Linked DNA regions of Mus musculus. The protein of the gene in region 3 purifies or fractionates together with the protein of the main gene of each other region. This does not show direct contact. Links are inferred from orthologs where the notes say so. Each region holds a gene or a part of one and is shown on either strand. Other genes may lie near its edges.

Region 1 (5,085 bases), on a different chromosome or scaffold from region 3:
ATGTTTTATTATTTTTAATTTATTTTATTTTTAAATTTATTCTTAGTGGCAACATTTGGTACAGTGCAACCGTACCAAATTAATTTAACCAGATCACTGTTGGTCCACATATACTTTGTTTTAAATTTTTGCTGGTAGAAAAGTGGGGGTATGTTGCACTCTTGCATAGCTCTCATTATCTATTCATGGGTTTCTGTGTAACATTTCTTAGATTCAGATAGCTGGGAGAAACATACATGCACTTTGAGTTTTGATACATATCTTCAAATGACTTAATGGCGTGACAGAAAGATTTCGTTCTCTTGACTTCATCTGGAAGCACTGATCTTTTATTTATTTATTTATTTATTTATTTATTTATTTATTTATTTATTTGGTTTTTCCAGACAGAGTTTCTCTGTATAGCCCTGGCTGTCCTGGAACTCACTCTGTAGACCAGGCTGGCCTGGAACTCAGAAATCTGCCTGCCTCTGCCTCCAAAGTACTGGGATTAAAGGCGTGCACCCCCCCTCCCCCACCTACTGATCTTTTTATTTAAAAAAAAAAAAGTAGGCAACCTTCCTTAGGAGTGAAATGCTTTCATTTTAGTACATAAAATGGACCTTCTATTTTTATAAGTTAATACATGGAGCCTCCTCTATCGGTAACGTCTTTGTTTGTTTGTTTGTTTTGTTTTTCAGTAATGCTGTTGTTTCGGTGTGTCCTTCTCAGACAGCTTGAAAGCCCAGAAAACAATAGCTCTCCAGGGGGTTAGTTAGCATGTTAATGGGACTTCTTTGGTGATTCACAAATGCCAGGACAGTCCATGGCCTGCTCTTGAGGTCCAAAGGAAGACACTGTAGAATTTGGATTTAGTCACTGAACTTTCAAGAAAACATAGTATAGAGGAGTGACTCACCCAGGGGAGCTGCCCTCTAGCTCTGTCCTTTAAAAAAAAAAGCATGACCCAAGGCCTGCTGGTACTTTTCCCTCTTTCTCCAAAAATTTCCTCAGGAGAGGCTATCTAGACTCCCAAGGGAGCCTAGTTGCTTTCCTAAGGGTCAAGGTCGGCAGTATGCAGCTAGACGGTGGCTCTGTCACTTGGTGCCCATGGTGGATGCTTAGCAGTTGTAATCCGTCCCTAAGCAGTGTGGCAGTGTTTCACATTCACACTGAAGCCTGTGTGTAAAAGTTGCGGTTTAACATCTCGTATTTATCATCAGAAGTCAAGGCTCCCTTTCCCTCCCACGGGAGCCCCTGGCAAGGCAGGTGCTTGGCTTGATTGTGGGAGACCAGAAATGCAGCAGAGGCAAAGGTTGCGGTTGGTTGGTGGTGATTGTGGTGGTGGTGGTGGTGGTGGTGTCTGATGCAGCAGCCGCAACAGGAGCACGGAGTACCAGTTGCTCAAAGTGATAGTTTATCACTTTGTACTGTCCTTTCTTCTCCCTTAAGTGAATTTCCGTTTCGAGGGCAGAGCTTCATAAAAGAAAGATGTGGTGGTGACGGGGACCTTAGAGCTTTGGAATGTCCAGAGTAAGAAAGCAAAGCAGAGCCTGCACTGCAATAAGATTTGGCTCTGGGCTTAGGGCTCTCTGGAGCCTTCCTGTCTCTGGCAAGGGACTCTGAGACTCGGGAGTGTCTACACTGGCAGTGGCTCCGGGTGTTTGGGGGTGGGGTCCTTGTCTCCTCCACACTACCCAACTGCTGAGAAGAAGGGCGTGGGTCTCAGGGCTGGCGGGGTCCCGGACCGTGGTGCCTTAGGGGTTCAGGCTCTCGGCCGGCCCCGGCAGTGGCGGTTGCCATGGTGACGTAGGGTCGGCTGTGCGCCGTAGAGACAAAGCGGCCCGCCCGCCCGCGGCTCCCGAGCTCCTCCTCCGCCGCGCCTCCCTCAATCCCTGGCGCCGCCGCCGGAGTGGCTCTCGATCCTCCCATCGATCCTCCAGTCCGTCCTCCCACGGCCCCCGCCGCTGGTCAGGTAAGGCGCGCGCCAGTCCGCGCGGCCCAGGAAGGGTCCCCCGAGCGCGGGGTCCAGCCGCTGCGGGGTGTGCACCGGATGCCCTGCGGGGCTACCCTGATGCCACCCACCGTCACGGCCTCCCGGAGCCCCGGGAGCCCAGCACCCGTAGCAAACTTCGGGCCGCGCTCCGGGCGCAGAGCCCTCGACACCGCCTGATCTGTCCCGACCAAGTTGAGGGGCGGGCCGAGCCATACCCACCTGCCAGGTGTCTCTTTTTCCTTCCACCTCTCTCCTTCGCCTTTAGGAGGAAAAGAAGGAAACAAAATTACCCCAGGACTTTTGTGTTTCATGGTTAATTCCTTACAGAATAGGATAGGAGGTGCAAGGAGCAAATGAGAGGTTTCTTTCTTTCTTTTTCTTTCTTTCTTTCTTCTTCTTCTTTTTTAAATTTAACACAAATCTTTGAAAAGTCAGCTCCTTCTGACGCTTGTGGTCCACGCATTTAGAAGTGGTATCTGGAGTTCCTCTGGGTTTTGGATCTGAATCTGGAACTGCATGGTGGGAAAGAGTGCTCGGGCTCGTTTCTAGCCTTTCTAGAGCTGTTAGCTGGACCAGTACCTTGTTGGGGAGATACTTGGCACAGACATCGTTGCTATTGTTTTGGGAAGATATTGTGTTCACGCTCTAGGCAAGTGGAAAATGCCTTGTGTTTTTATGCAAGGGAGCCATCCAAAGCATCCTCGGAGGCAGGTGTCCAGGCAGTGTTTGCATCAGTGTTTATGTGTGCTGGCAAGGACTGAGATGCAGTTGCCAAGGGCATTGGGATACCTGATAGGAAACTGCTTAAGTTGTGGGTACCAGTCCCTTTCAGTGGCCACAAGCCAGCAGATCATTTCGTGATAGTTTGTTGCAGACACACACACACACACAAAATTTTTAAATGTGATAGTGAAGACTTTTTTGGGGGGGGAGAGCACTAGAAATGATATGTACTATTATGAGAGAAAGAAAACATGCTTTTCCGGGTTACAGGTGATCAGTTAAGGATATTATACATGTGCAGATGTTATTTTATTAATTGGGGACAGATGCTGTGTTGATAACTGGAAAATTACCCGCCTGATTAAGTTGTATAACTCAACTTAGAAAAATCATGTTTAAGTAGGTTAGAGAACGTTTTATGGAATGAAAGGAACTCTATTTTGTTTTTGTTAGCTCATATTATAGTTAATGAAACAGTAATACTGATTATTTTGAGTTGTGGTTAACTTGATTAGAATTCTGGGTATTGTAGCTACAGGAGGTGCCATCCCAGAGTGATTATTTAATATCCCCCAACCCCCTTGGGATTCCAACACCTGTTAGCTTGCTGATTGCTGGGTTCCTAAGCTTGTTCTCATGTGCCAACAATTTTGAGTAATGCCACTTCATTATAAGCCTGTATTGGAAACTAAAGGATTTACACTGCAGTAATTTTCAGATTATTTCCACAGTTGTTTTGAAACCGAGTTTTTACCTGCTGCGCGGCTCACAGATGCTGTACTAAATACTCCTTGATGAAGGCAATGAAACACTAGCCTGATTCGAATGAAGTAGAGCGGGGTGGAGAAGAGAAGCAGAGGAGGAGAATCATCAGCTTTTTCTCATTTCAGCCCGAGAGGCAGTCAGACCATCAAAAAACCGAAGGCGCATTACATAGTCACAGAATGTAGTTGCTTGGTACTAAAAATACAATTTGAGTTCTTTCTAAGGTACCAGGAGTGCAGCTTTATTTAGCTCTTTGTCAGCAATCCTAACATTCAAGTACAAGGACTCTGTACGTGTAGCTATATGAAACCCACACTGGGAATTCTAGCCTGGGCAGTTGTGGCTCACAATTAGAGTGTTGAAGCATAGAGCTGCTTAGTGTTACGATGGCAAGATAAGGGCTCCTGTTTGCAGGTACAAGATTCAATAGTTTGGCGTCTTCAAACAGCACCATTTTCTTTTTCTTCCTTCCAAAATAAAACAAGTAAACAGAAATAAACAGCTACAGATTGAATGCACTGACTGCTTAACTGTATTAGGTGGCTTACAGAAACGTGGTCTCACTATTACATATATCACTGGCTTCCTGGACTCTTGAGTTACCACCAGGGCTAAAGCCACCATGGGTAAGGGGACAGCTGTACTATTGTAGTAGGAAATGCAAAAAACATACCTTAGGGACTTGGAACTTGACTCAGATCAGCCACTTGGGGGAAGCAAGTATGCCCTTAGGTGTGAAAGATTGGTCACATCTCTTCAAGATTCTCAAGGGTGCCTGTTATTTTATTGCAGATCCTGGTTTAAAAGTCTGAATTTTACAAAGAAAAACTGGCCTTAGTTTTTGGTCTAAGTTGTAAAACACAGTCAGGTAAATGATGGTATGGTTGGCCCACCTGGGATTTCTGTTCTTCATGTGTATCAAATATATTCAAAGACACCAAAGCAAGCCAAGGAATTTTAACTTTAAATTGTTGTTACTGTCGTGCTGTTGAGTGTCAGTTGTCTGTAACCTTAAATCCTGCCTGGCAGTCTAAAGCCACTTAGCCTCCCTCCCTTTCCTGTTTCTGGACCATCATTCTCTTGCAATTTCTGGTTGCACTGTGATAGCACAATTGCATCCAGTGCAATGTGTGGTAGCATTTATAAAATCACATTGCTGAAGGACGATCGGTTCTTAATGACTTCATTACTCAGACACTTAGGCTTCAATATGTGGCTGGAGAGAAGGCAACCCTGAGACCTCGAGGCAAGATGCTATAAATATAAGGTATCATTTCCTGACCTGCTGAGCACGGCAGGTATTGATCATAGCTGCTGTGCAGAGAACAGGTGGAAAGAGACTGGCCATGGTGGCAGGAAGGGGTATTTGGTGGCATAGATTATTAGTAATGACTGATTAGGTAGAAAAATGATTGTGGGTATATTCCAGTTTTGTGTTTGAAGTGATGGAAAGATACAACAATTTAAAGCCATACTGCAAACTCTTAAGTGCTGGGTGGAAAACGTGTATGTTTATATTTTTGAGATAGAAGTGTAGTTCAAACAAAATGACTGATTTCTTTTATTTTCTAGCTACATGTAGCACTTAGTACATATTCAGACACAGTTAACAAATGTGGACC
Region 2 (5,152 bases), on a different chromosome or scaffold from region 3:
ACAAAAACAAACGAACAAACAAAAAATTTAGAGTAGATGACAATGTCCCTTGAGGGACATTCTTTTTTTTTTTTTTTTGAATTAATTAATTTATTTCATGTATGTGAGTACACTGTCGATGTCTTCAGACACACCAGAAGAGGGCATCAGATCCCATTACAGATGGTTGTAGCCACCATGTGGTTGCTGGGAATTGAGCTCAGGACCTCTGGAAGAGCAGTCAGTGCTCTTAACCCCTGAGCCATCTCACCAGCCCCCTAGAAACATTCTATTAGTATCTCAGACTTCAATATGATAACCATTGACATTCTATTAATAGATGTTACATCACATAATTTAAAAAATTGAGGAAAGAAAACACAAATATTTGTACACAATATAACTGATCTTGGCCTAATTTTTTAAAATATTTACTCAAAATATTTATATGAGTACACTGTAGCTGTTTTCAGACACACCAGAAGAGGGAATCAGATTCTATTACAGATGCTTGTGAGCCACCATGTGGCTGCTGGGAATTGAACTCAGGACCTCAGGAAGAACAGTCAGTGCTCTTAACCGCTGAGCCATCTCTCCAGCCCTTGATGGGCTAATTTTAAAGGCCAAGGGATACTGGTCAGCTTAGATGTATGGCCTCCACAGTCTCCAGGATGTTGGGTCTCCCTTTAGAACCCATCTCACCACAACTCTAAGTTTACAAAAGCAGGAACCTGTTACCATCCCTTTTAATCAGTTTCACATAGGAACAGAGAATAGGCACATAGGGGCCAGAAAAGTGGGTGGGAACAGACTGAAGTTAGAAGCCAAAGGCACTGGCCAATGAGAGTGTCAGCAGGTGTGTGTTTTCCTCACCCACTAGTTTCTGGATTGCTTTTTCTTGGTCAAAAAGCTAACTTTGTATCTCTTGTTTTCTTCACCACTGCTGGCCAGCTCTCCCCTTGCCTCCCTGTTGTCTACCTCTGTACGATGCACAGTCATCAGACCCATTCAACGCTGTTCTGTCACCACGGTCCTTCCACTGACTCAGAACTAACTCTGTGTCCCACAGTTACTTCTCATAGGCCACCTGCCTCAAGGTCATTCAAGAGACGCAGCTGACACGCTGTAAGAAACCCTTCACCAACTCTCAGATCATATGTAGAATCGGTCCATTTCTCACCGTATGATTCATCTCATCTTCTCTGGTATCACTTCGCAGGAGCCCCATCTTAAATCTGAAAATGGCCCTGACTACTTCCCAAACTGGCTCTCCTGTTTCAGACCTCCACTCCTTTCCAAGTGTTTGTCTCTCTTTAAAATGTCTGAGCAGCTCTGAATTCCTGGTCATTTTCTATCTCATGCTCCATTCTCAGCTGAGGGATGCCTTTCCAGGCAAACCCATCCCAGTACTGAGTCGAAGTCTCCACTAGGGTGCACTTGGGAGGCTCTCTCAAAGAGGAGTTTATTTCTCTACCTGGCTTTTAACTAGAAAGACATATAGCTGTGGAATGAGTCCAATAGCTCACAGACAGGGAAAAGCCTGTCAGCTCTGTTTCTCTCCTGGTGTGCATGCTGCGTACGTGGCCGGATCTTTCCTTGTTCTGCTAATGAGCCATGCCCGCATGCCGGGCTTGTTTACTTGCTTGTTTGGTTAACCTTTCTGACTCTACCAGAGTTACTTCCATAGCTCCCTAGTCTTTCTCTTAACTTTGGAAGGGAGATTATAGAACCAGCCTCTCCGCCCCTAGACCCGCCCAGCCCTGTCTCACTTCCTCTCGGGAGGCGGGCTCTCCTCGGGCAATCTCTCGCTCAGTTTTCTGGCTCAGATCTGAGACCCATTTCCCGCCTTCACAGACCTAATCAAGAAATGGAAACTGAACCAGTTTCCGTGCAGAAGGTACCTGCACCCCCTGGATCTCCCTGTCGACAACAGGACTCTGCCCTGACCCCCACGCCCACCATGCCTCCCCCAGAGGAACCCTCCGAAGACTATGAACACAGCCAAAGCCCTGCAGAGGTACTACTGGGTTAGAAGGTGTAGGGCTATTAGGTTTTTTTATTCGTTTACTTTGGTCGAGGAGTTGAGGATGAAGAAGGTCGTTATAGAGAAGTAAGTTAATGGGTTAGTGTCCTAAAGAGACACCAAGGTCCTGACCCTCCTGGCTGGGCAGAGGTAGAACTGATAGCCTAGAGTAAAATAGGAACAGGGGCCCGGCGGTGTGGGGCACACCTCTAATCCCAACACTTGGGAGGCAGAGGCAGGTGGATTTCTGAGTTCAAGGCCAGCCTGGTCTCTACAGAGTGAGTTCCAGGACAGCCAGGGCTACACAGAGAAACCCTGTCTAAAAAAAAAAAAAAAAAAACCGGGATGAGTTGGATTGTAACTGGGGATAGTTGGATTGTAACTCCTACTCCCTGAAGCCTTGCCTGAAGCGCCTACCTCAGATGAAAGACTATAGTCCTGTGGAAGGCCTGGCCAGGAGTCTTATTTGCTCTGGCCTGGAGCTAAAGGCATGTCCCAGACTTGGCAAAACTATAGTCGCCCTCCCTGACCCCCACACCAACACTTCCCGTTTTTCAGCTGTGGTTGCACATCCCAGGAGCAATAGTGCTTGGGATGGTAGGGCTGGAGGGAGGATGACAAGTTCCAGGCCAGCCTAGGCCACAAAGAGAGTTCAAGACCGCTGAGGGCATCACAGCAAGACCTGTTTCAAAACAAAACAAACAAACAGACAGAACCTGGCTCAGACCAAAGTGCCTGCTAAGACCAACAGGATTCACACAGCTGCTTTCTCTTTTGATTTTCATCAATTTATTTTATGTGTATGAGGTTTAGGGATTTATTTTATTTTATCTTTTGGAACACAGGGTCTCACTCTGTAGCCTTGGCCGGGCTGGAGCTTGCTTTGTAAGCCAGGCTGGTCTCAAATTCATAGAAACCACCTGCCTGCCTTCTGAGCTCTGGGATTAATGTATGCGCCACCAAGCTCATTTTCCTAAGGAAGCCTAGTTCATGGCCTTCCTGGGAGTATTGCCTCAACCTTCCATACTCACCCTGGAAGGAACTACCTCCATCCCATTATTCTTCACTCATTTTTCCCTTCACAAAAAACACAAATAAGGTCACATTGCCCTAACTTTTTATTATTAGCATTATATAGCTAAGGATTAAAAATACTAGTTGACATTTATGGGTACTTCTCTCTCTCTCTCAATCTCTCTCTCTTTTTTTTTTTTTTTTTGGTTTTTCGAGACAGGGTTTCTCTGTATAGCCCTGGCTGTCCTGGAACTCACTTTGTGAACCAGGCTGGCCTCGAAATCGCCTGCCTCTGCCTCCTGAGTGCTGGGATTAGACTTATGGGTATTTCTCATGTGCCAGGCACCATGGTATTGAGCTCTTTGAACAGTAGCTCCACCTTCTATACCTATGAACTAACTATTATTATTTTATATGACATGACTGGAATTACACAATATTTCTAATTTTATGGCAGGCATATTATTTCACCATGTCTTCAAGGTTCATCCAGGTTGTTGAATGTATCAGGATTTCATTCCTCTTTCAGGGTGAATACTATTTTGTTACATTTGCAGACACATTTTGTTCATGCGTTCATGTGCTAAGGACACTTGGGTCACTGTGACTTTTGTGGGGGTGTTGCTAGGCACATTAGTATATAATTATATGCTTGGATATTTTTTCCAGTTCTTTTGAGTATATATATGGAAAGTGGAAGCTTGGTCATACGGTAGTTTAAGTCTAACTTTTTGAGGGTCATCCTGCCAATTGTGTTAAGCACTTTATATGAAGTTGATACTTTTCCAAACTTGAGTCCCTTAAATGCAAAGATGTATCTATCCTATCTTGTATCTCAGGACCTACTAGTGAGTCTAATGATAAGCAGATGGGTGCCCGGTAAATTGTGCAGTGAGAGCTGCAAGGCTCGAAGTAAATGAGGAACTGGGGTGCCGATAAGCCAGGACATGATCCAATGACTCCCAGGAATGGAATGTGAGGTCCTACCCTCTCCAATCTCCAGCTGAAGGGATGGGCGGCCAGTGGAGGGGACAAGACGTCTGGGCTTTCTGTAGGCCTCACTTCTCTCCTTGGTTCACTAGCAAGCCATACAGGAGGAATTTCAGTTTCTGCGCTGCCCGAGCTGCCAGGCCCAAGCCAAGTGCCCCAAACTGCTGCCTTGCCTGCACACGCTGTGCTCCGGATGCCTGGAGGCGCCTGGCCTGCAGTGCCCCATCTGCAAGGCTCCTGGGCAGGCCGATGCTAATGGGGAGGCCCTGGATAACGTGTTCTTCGAGAGCCTGCAGCGGCGCCTGGCGGTGTTCCGGCAGATCGTGGATGCTCAGGCTGCGTGCACCCGCTGCAAAGGCTTGGCCGACTTCTGGTGTTTCGAGTGTGAACAGCTCATTTGCAGCAAGTGCTTCGAAGCACACCAGTGGTACCTCAAGCATGAGGCCCGGCCCCTGGCTGATCTCCGCGACAATTCAGTGAGCAGCTTCCTCGACAGTACGCGCAAGTCCAATATCTTCTGCTCCAATACCAACCACCGCAACCCTGCGCTGACTGAGTAAGTGGAGCATCCTGGAGTCAGGGGGTGAAAGCTTCAGGGAATTGTCACTCAAAATGGGCTCCGCTGGTTTATAGTCGTTTCTAATGACCCTTTGAAATATTATATATAGCTTCAGAGTCATCTTTGCACCCATACCTAGTTTGTCTTTAGGATGAAAAAATTTCAGAGTGCCATTGCAAGTGATATGTGAAAACAGTAGGTTTTAGTATGTGTCACCACCGAACTTTAGATGTCTTAATAGTGGACATTTCCTTCGGAGGCCCCAGGGAATCTCAGTAAGGCTGGATGTTATTATTGGGGCAGGAAAATAGTGTTTGAAAAGTTGAAACTATGGCATCAGGGAGTGCTATCTGAAAATGACTATATGCAAAGAACAAAGAAAGTCACTTATAATTATTTTTGTTAAGCAACATATTTTCTATTTATGTAGGGAATATATTTATATGGCTCACAAACAAAATTTATACTAAAGAAAAGAGAGTGCCATCTCCATTCCATTCCTACCTGCTTAGTTTTCAACACTTTACCTCCATTCTCAGGGCAGCTGCCATGGCTAATTTGGAATGCTTCTTTTAAGTTTCTTTGTG
Region 3 (4,951 bases):
GAAGAGCCTGAACTCAGGGTAAAAAGGAATGGACGGTGAGGAGCACACCTGTGGGGATGAGTGGCGTCAGTGTCCCCTGCATCCCCTTCGTTTTCTTGACCTTTCTTCTGGAGTGCTGGAGATAAATACCAGTCTTCAGTATGCTAGGCAAGTGCTGTAACTCTGATACACTCCTACCCATCTCCCCCTCTGAGACAAAATCACACCGGCTAGCCCCTGCTGGTCCAGAGCTCTCTTTGTAAACAAAGCTCCATTTTTTTCATTTGTGTTGAGAAAGTGTCTATACAGTCCTGGTTGTCTAGCAACTCACTATGTATAGACTGTACTGGCCTCGAACTAGGAGACCTGCTGAGTCTGCCTCCAGAGTGCTGGGGCTAAAGGCCTGCACTACCAAACACAACTCACATTTATCTTTTATTTTATTTTATTATTTTTATTTTTGTATATATGTGCACATGTGAATGCAGTTGCTCTCAAGAGCCCAGAACAGTGTGAGGTCTCCGGAAGCTGCAGTTACAGTTGCTGATAACTGGACTCTGGTCTTCTGCAAGGGCATTATCGACTCTTAACTGATGGGCCATCTCTCCAGCCTGCAACCATCCTTTTTTAAAGAGCATCTTCTGTAGTTCTGGATGGGTTCAAACTATGTAGAGGAGGATGACGTTGAACGTCTGACCCCATGAGCGCTGGGATTACTGGAGCATCCTGGAGTCAGAGATCAAATCCCAGCTTCCTGCAACGTTATGCAAAAACTACTGAGTTCTCATTTCTAGCCTTTACTTTTTAGTAAGGACGCTGGTATTCATATTAACTTAAATTGTAACTATATGTGTTTTTACAAGTGGTTCATGTGAGGACCAATGATGGCTGTGTGCCATTAATTGGAGATTATATTCATTCTGTCGCCTTGACATCCGCCCTCGCAAAATATTAAACTGCTTTTTCTAATCTGCGCCAAGTGAGAAACTGAAATGAGTGGGAGGGGCGTAACTATTTTCACTTTTGTCTTCCTGTTTTTTTCAGAGCCTGGGAAAGCAATTCAGAATTTCCAATCTTTTCCAATTCCCACATGATTTCCTAATTTAGAGAAAATAAGTCTTTCTCTGAGTGCTGAAACCTCCTGTGGCCCGGGAGGCGCCTCCTCCTTCTGGCATAGTGGAGGCAGCCTGATGTGTTGCGTCCTCCGGCCAGAGTCCCCACACTCAATCTGCACACCTGCCCTTGGCTTAGATGGCAATTTTTGCTCCCTACAAACGCTTTCCTCATTGGAGCCTGGACTCCTGGGAGGCCTTGAAGGAGATGTTCACGGTGTGACCCTAGCTGGTTCCGGAGATCCCTAAAGATCTAAACCTTAGCAGACAGCACCTATGTGTGCAGACGAAGCCCTGGGGCTCTTCCAGCACTCATGGCTCTCAGGGACTCTTAGAGGTACAGGTGTCTGCCTAGTCCTCGGTCTGCCCCTCTACCCTAAGGCCTGTCGGATGCAGCACGCTCGCTCCGCGAAGCACTCCTGCGCGCAGCCGGATCTAGGTTGGGGAGCATGTGGCCCGTAGCACGCGGGTCCCCAGAAGGCCCCTGCACGCTTAGGAAAACGTGTGGAATTCAGTCACTGGCCTCCGCGGGAGCAGCAGGCCTGGGCCTCTCCCTGCGCAGGGCGAATGGCCGCAGCCTGCCACCAGCCCTGGCTCGGCTCCAGTCCCGGCCAGGGTGACATCACCAAACTCCTGAGATCAGAGCGGGGCGGGGAACGGGACCCGAAATCCCCTAAAAACAGAGTGAGTAATCGCGGGCCCGCCCTCCAGGCGGGGCCGGGAACGGGACCGGGACCCCGAGCGAGCCGCGCTGCGGAGCTTGTAGTCGGGCCGGCCTCGGGACAAACAGCCTCGGCGTCCTCCCGCCGCGCTGCGGTGTCCCCGCCCGCGCGCCCGCCGCACACCTTCCGCGCCCAGCGTGAGTCGCGCACCTGCTCTCGGCCCCCCACGCGCGGCGGTGGCGGTGGCGGCGGCTCAGCGCGCAGGCGCGGCCGGATTCCGGGCAGTGACGCGACGACGGGCGCGCGCCGCGCATTTCCGCCTCTGGCGAATGGCTTTACTTTAGCGCGCCGTGGGCTCAGCTGCGACCCCGGCCCCGCCCCCGGGACCCTGACCATGGACGGTGAGGCTGCCCTCTGGCTCGGGGGATGGCTGCCCTAGAGCTCCGGGGCCTGCGGCGGAATCTCCCCCCTCCCCGCGCCGTCTTCCGCCCCTTTCTGCGCCGCGGGTTGCTGCGCAGGGAGCGGCAGGCCGGATGGTGGCACGGGGCGGGGCGGGCTGCGAGGGGGTCTGACTCAGTTACCCCTCTCAGTGGAGGGCGCCTTGACTCAGTGTCCCTCCTGGGTGGGGGTACGGGTGAATCTTGACTCCGTTTCCTCCGGCTCCCCCCACCCCCGTGTCGATGCGATTAGTTCTGGCTTCCTTTCCGTGTAAGGAAGAAAGTATCTGACTCAGTTTCCCCAGAAGAGGAGAGGAGGGTATTACCCCCTCCTCAGTGTCACTTATGAACGTAAAACAGGCACTGACTCAGTTTCCCCTGGCAAAGGAATGCCTCTGTGTCCCCTTTCTCTAGTTCCCCGGCCTCTGTCAGGGCAGGTTTCAGGGTCTTGGCTCAGTTTTCTTGGAAGGGAGGGAGCTTGGCTCTGTCAGGCCTTCGCAGGTGAGGGTGGGCACTGGAGTTTATTGACAATGTGCCTTGTCTTTCCCTTTCAGATCTGTTTCCCCTCATCTTTCCCTCAGGTAAGTTGGACCATCCATCCTCAGTAGTCAGGGGCTGTCCTGGAGTCGGGGCCGTGGGGATAGCACCTGATGGCTGACTGTGTCACCCACAGAGCCAGCCCAGGCTTCTGGGCCTTATGTGGAGATCATCGAACAGCCGAAGCAACGGGGCATGCGATTCCGCTATAAATGCGAGGGGCGCTCAGCGGGCAGTATTCCTGGCGAGAGAAGCACAGATACCACCAAGACACACCCCACCATCAAGGTAAGCAAGAGCCCCCAGGGGTGTCGCTGGGACACAGATGTGGTGGAACGCACTGTGCAGCCCCAGCAGACTTGCCTCCTGGTCACCGTGCCCTGTGTCTAAGAGCCAGATTAGGGATTGCTGGCCACTAGAGTACTCTGTACTTTGGACAGATCAATGGCTACACAGGACCAGGAACAGTTCGAATCTCCCTGGTCACCAAGGATCCACCTCACCGGCCTCATCCACATGAACTTGTGGGGAAGGACTGCCGGGATGGCTACTATGAGGCTGACCTCTGCCCAGACCGCAGTATCCATAGGTGAGTTCCCTATGGGCTGGGGGTGGTGTGAGGGCAGGGTAGGAGCAGGCCGGCCAGGCAGCTCTTACAGTGTTGCTCTTTTCTAAACACAGGCAGAATCCAGAGTTCTTAACTCTGTCTCCAGTTTGCAAACAGACCTCCTTTGTCTTGAATTCTCTAACAGTTGGGAACTCCTTATCTTCTTAGAGCCACAAACCCTATGGCTGGACAGGCCAGCCTCTTAGCCTCTTGGATCAGAAAGATATCCAAATGGACCCTCCTAGAGCTTAAATACCAGTTGGTAAAACCAGGCGATAATTGTACAGACAGATAGACGAGATACTGGTAGAGAATTATAACTTCCATGATGGAAAGAAAACACAGTTATAAATTAGGAGGAGGAGTCTGGTCTCAGGAAGCTCAAGCTGGCCTTGAACTCGTTAGGGTTCCCCTGCCTCCTCTTCTCAACTCCAGGGGAATAGGCATGTAGCACCGTGTCCTGCTGCACAGGTCTCACGACTTTGGGTTGGAGGGTTACAGAAGGCCTCTGTGCTAACTCTTAAATGGTGAGAAAAAGCAGACAGACCCAAAAGAACATTCCGTGCACGAGAAAGAAGTACAAAAAAAAGCAAGCAAGCAAGCAAGCAGTACGATGCCCTTGGAAGGGGAGTACGTTCCATTTCGTGTGCTTAGGTCTGGGAAAGGAAGCCCCTGTGGCTGAGGTGGGGCACTGGCTTGGAGGCCTGCGAGGGCCAGCTCCCTCAGAGACTTGCCAGTGGGTAAGGAGTGGGAAGCCTAGACATACCTGAGAGCTGTGGAGTTGGGAGGCAAGAAGGGGCTCTGCTGGAGACACAAAACTAATACCTGAGGCCTCAGCTTCCAGAACCTGGGGATCCAGTGTGTGAAGAAGCGAGACCTGGAGCAAGCCATTAGCCAGCGAATCCAGACCAACAATAACCCCTTTCACGGTAGGAGCAAGGGGCAAAGACATTGATCTTCGTGTGGTGCAAGTATCTCTGTCACCTTCCCTGGGCCTCTGCCGCTCATCTCCCTCCATGGCCAACCCAGCAGCAGGAGTGGAACCTTGCTGCCAGCTTGGCACACACTCACACTCTGCCGTTGAGAGTCAGGCCTAGAGAGGGCTCCTGGAGAGCCGTGATGGATCTAGGGTCTTCCTCCCCTTAGACTTCTGTTTTACATCTCCTCAAATCACCTTCCTCTTTCCTCAGAGCTCCCTGGCCCGTCCCCCCTCCCCCACCCCCAATGCCTTCCACCACAGTGTTTTGTTTTTTGTTTTTGTTGTTTTTTTGTTTTTGACAGTTCCTATAGAGGAGCAGCGCGGGGACTATGACTTGAATGCAGTGCGCCTCTGCTTCCAGGTGACAGTGCGGGACCCAGCAGGCAGGCCCCTCCTCCTGACCCCTGTCCTCTCACATCCGATTTTTGATAACCGTAAGTGGCCGGCTGCAGTAGGGATGAGGGCGGGCTTGGGAACTGAATGGGGACCGGGTGGGTGAGGCCTGGGAGAAGAGCTCTGGCTTCCTTCAGTCATCCAGCGCCTTCCAGCTGTGCTGCAGGGGGTGGGGTGGAGAAGACCCAGAGCTGCCCTGTGACTGAAGCGGCCAGGATGCCCAGGAGCCTGGTGGGAAGTGACTG

The links. The genes of interacting proteins can lie anywhere in the genome.
Region 1: the proteins of Rela (region 3) and Rnf182 purify together in Homo sapiens (affinity purification with western blotting; 3 studies listed by BioGRID). This does not show direct contact. The link is inferred for Mus musculus from reciprocal best matches to the Homo sapiens genes RELA and RNF182.
Region 2: the proteins of Rela (region 3) and Pml purify together in Homo sapiens (affinity purification with western blotting; 3 studies listed by BioGRID, with this or other methods). This does not show direct contact. The link is inferred for Mus musculus from reciprocal best matches to the Homo sapiens genes RELA and PML.

The regions. Positions count from the first base shown.
Region 1 is NC_000079.6:43,614,114-43,619,198, forward strand, and holds the start of Rnf182 (E3 ubiquitin-protein ligase RNF182), read left to right. Parts: upstream 1-1,683; 5' UTR 1,684-1,954; intron 1,955-5,085. UniProt on the Homo sapiens protein: E3 ubiquitin-protein ligase that mediates the ubiquitination of ATP6V0C and targets it to degradation via the ubiquitin-proteasome pathway.
Region 2 is NC_000075.6:58,246,385-58,251,536, reverse strand, and holds the start of Pml (protein PML), read left to right. Parts: upstream 1-1,750; 5' UTR 1,751-1,846; coding exon 1,847-1,996; intron 1,997-4,098; coding exon 4,099-4,562; intron 4,563-5,152.
Region 3 is NC_000085.6:5,635,688-5,640,638, forward strand, and holds the start of Rela (transcription factor p65), read left to right. Parts: upstream 1-1,853; 5' UTR 1,854-2,147; coding exon 2,148-2,154; intron 2,155-2,276; exon of another isoform or gene 2,277-2,433; coding exon of another isoform or gene 2,434-2,461; intron 2,462-2,744; coding exon 2,745-2,771; intron 2,772-2,863; coding exon 2,864-3,015; intron 3,016-3,167; coding exon 3,168-3,316; intron 3,317-4,171; coding exon 4,172-4,263; intron 4,264-4,615; coding exon 4,616-4,747; intron 4,748-4,951. UniProt on the Homo sapiens protein: NF-kappa-B is a pleiotropic transcription factor present in almost all cell types and is the endpoint of a series of signal transduction events that are initiated by a vast array of stimuli related to many biological processes such as inflammation, immunity, differentiation, cell growth, tumorigenesis and apoptosis.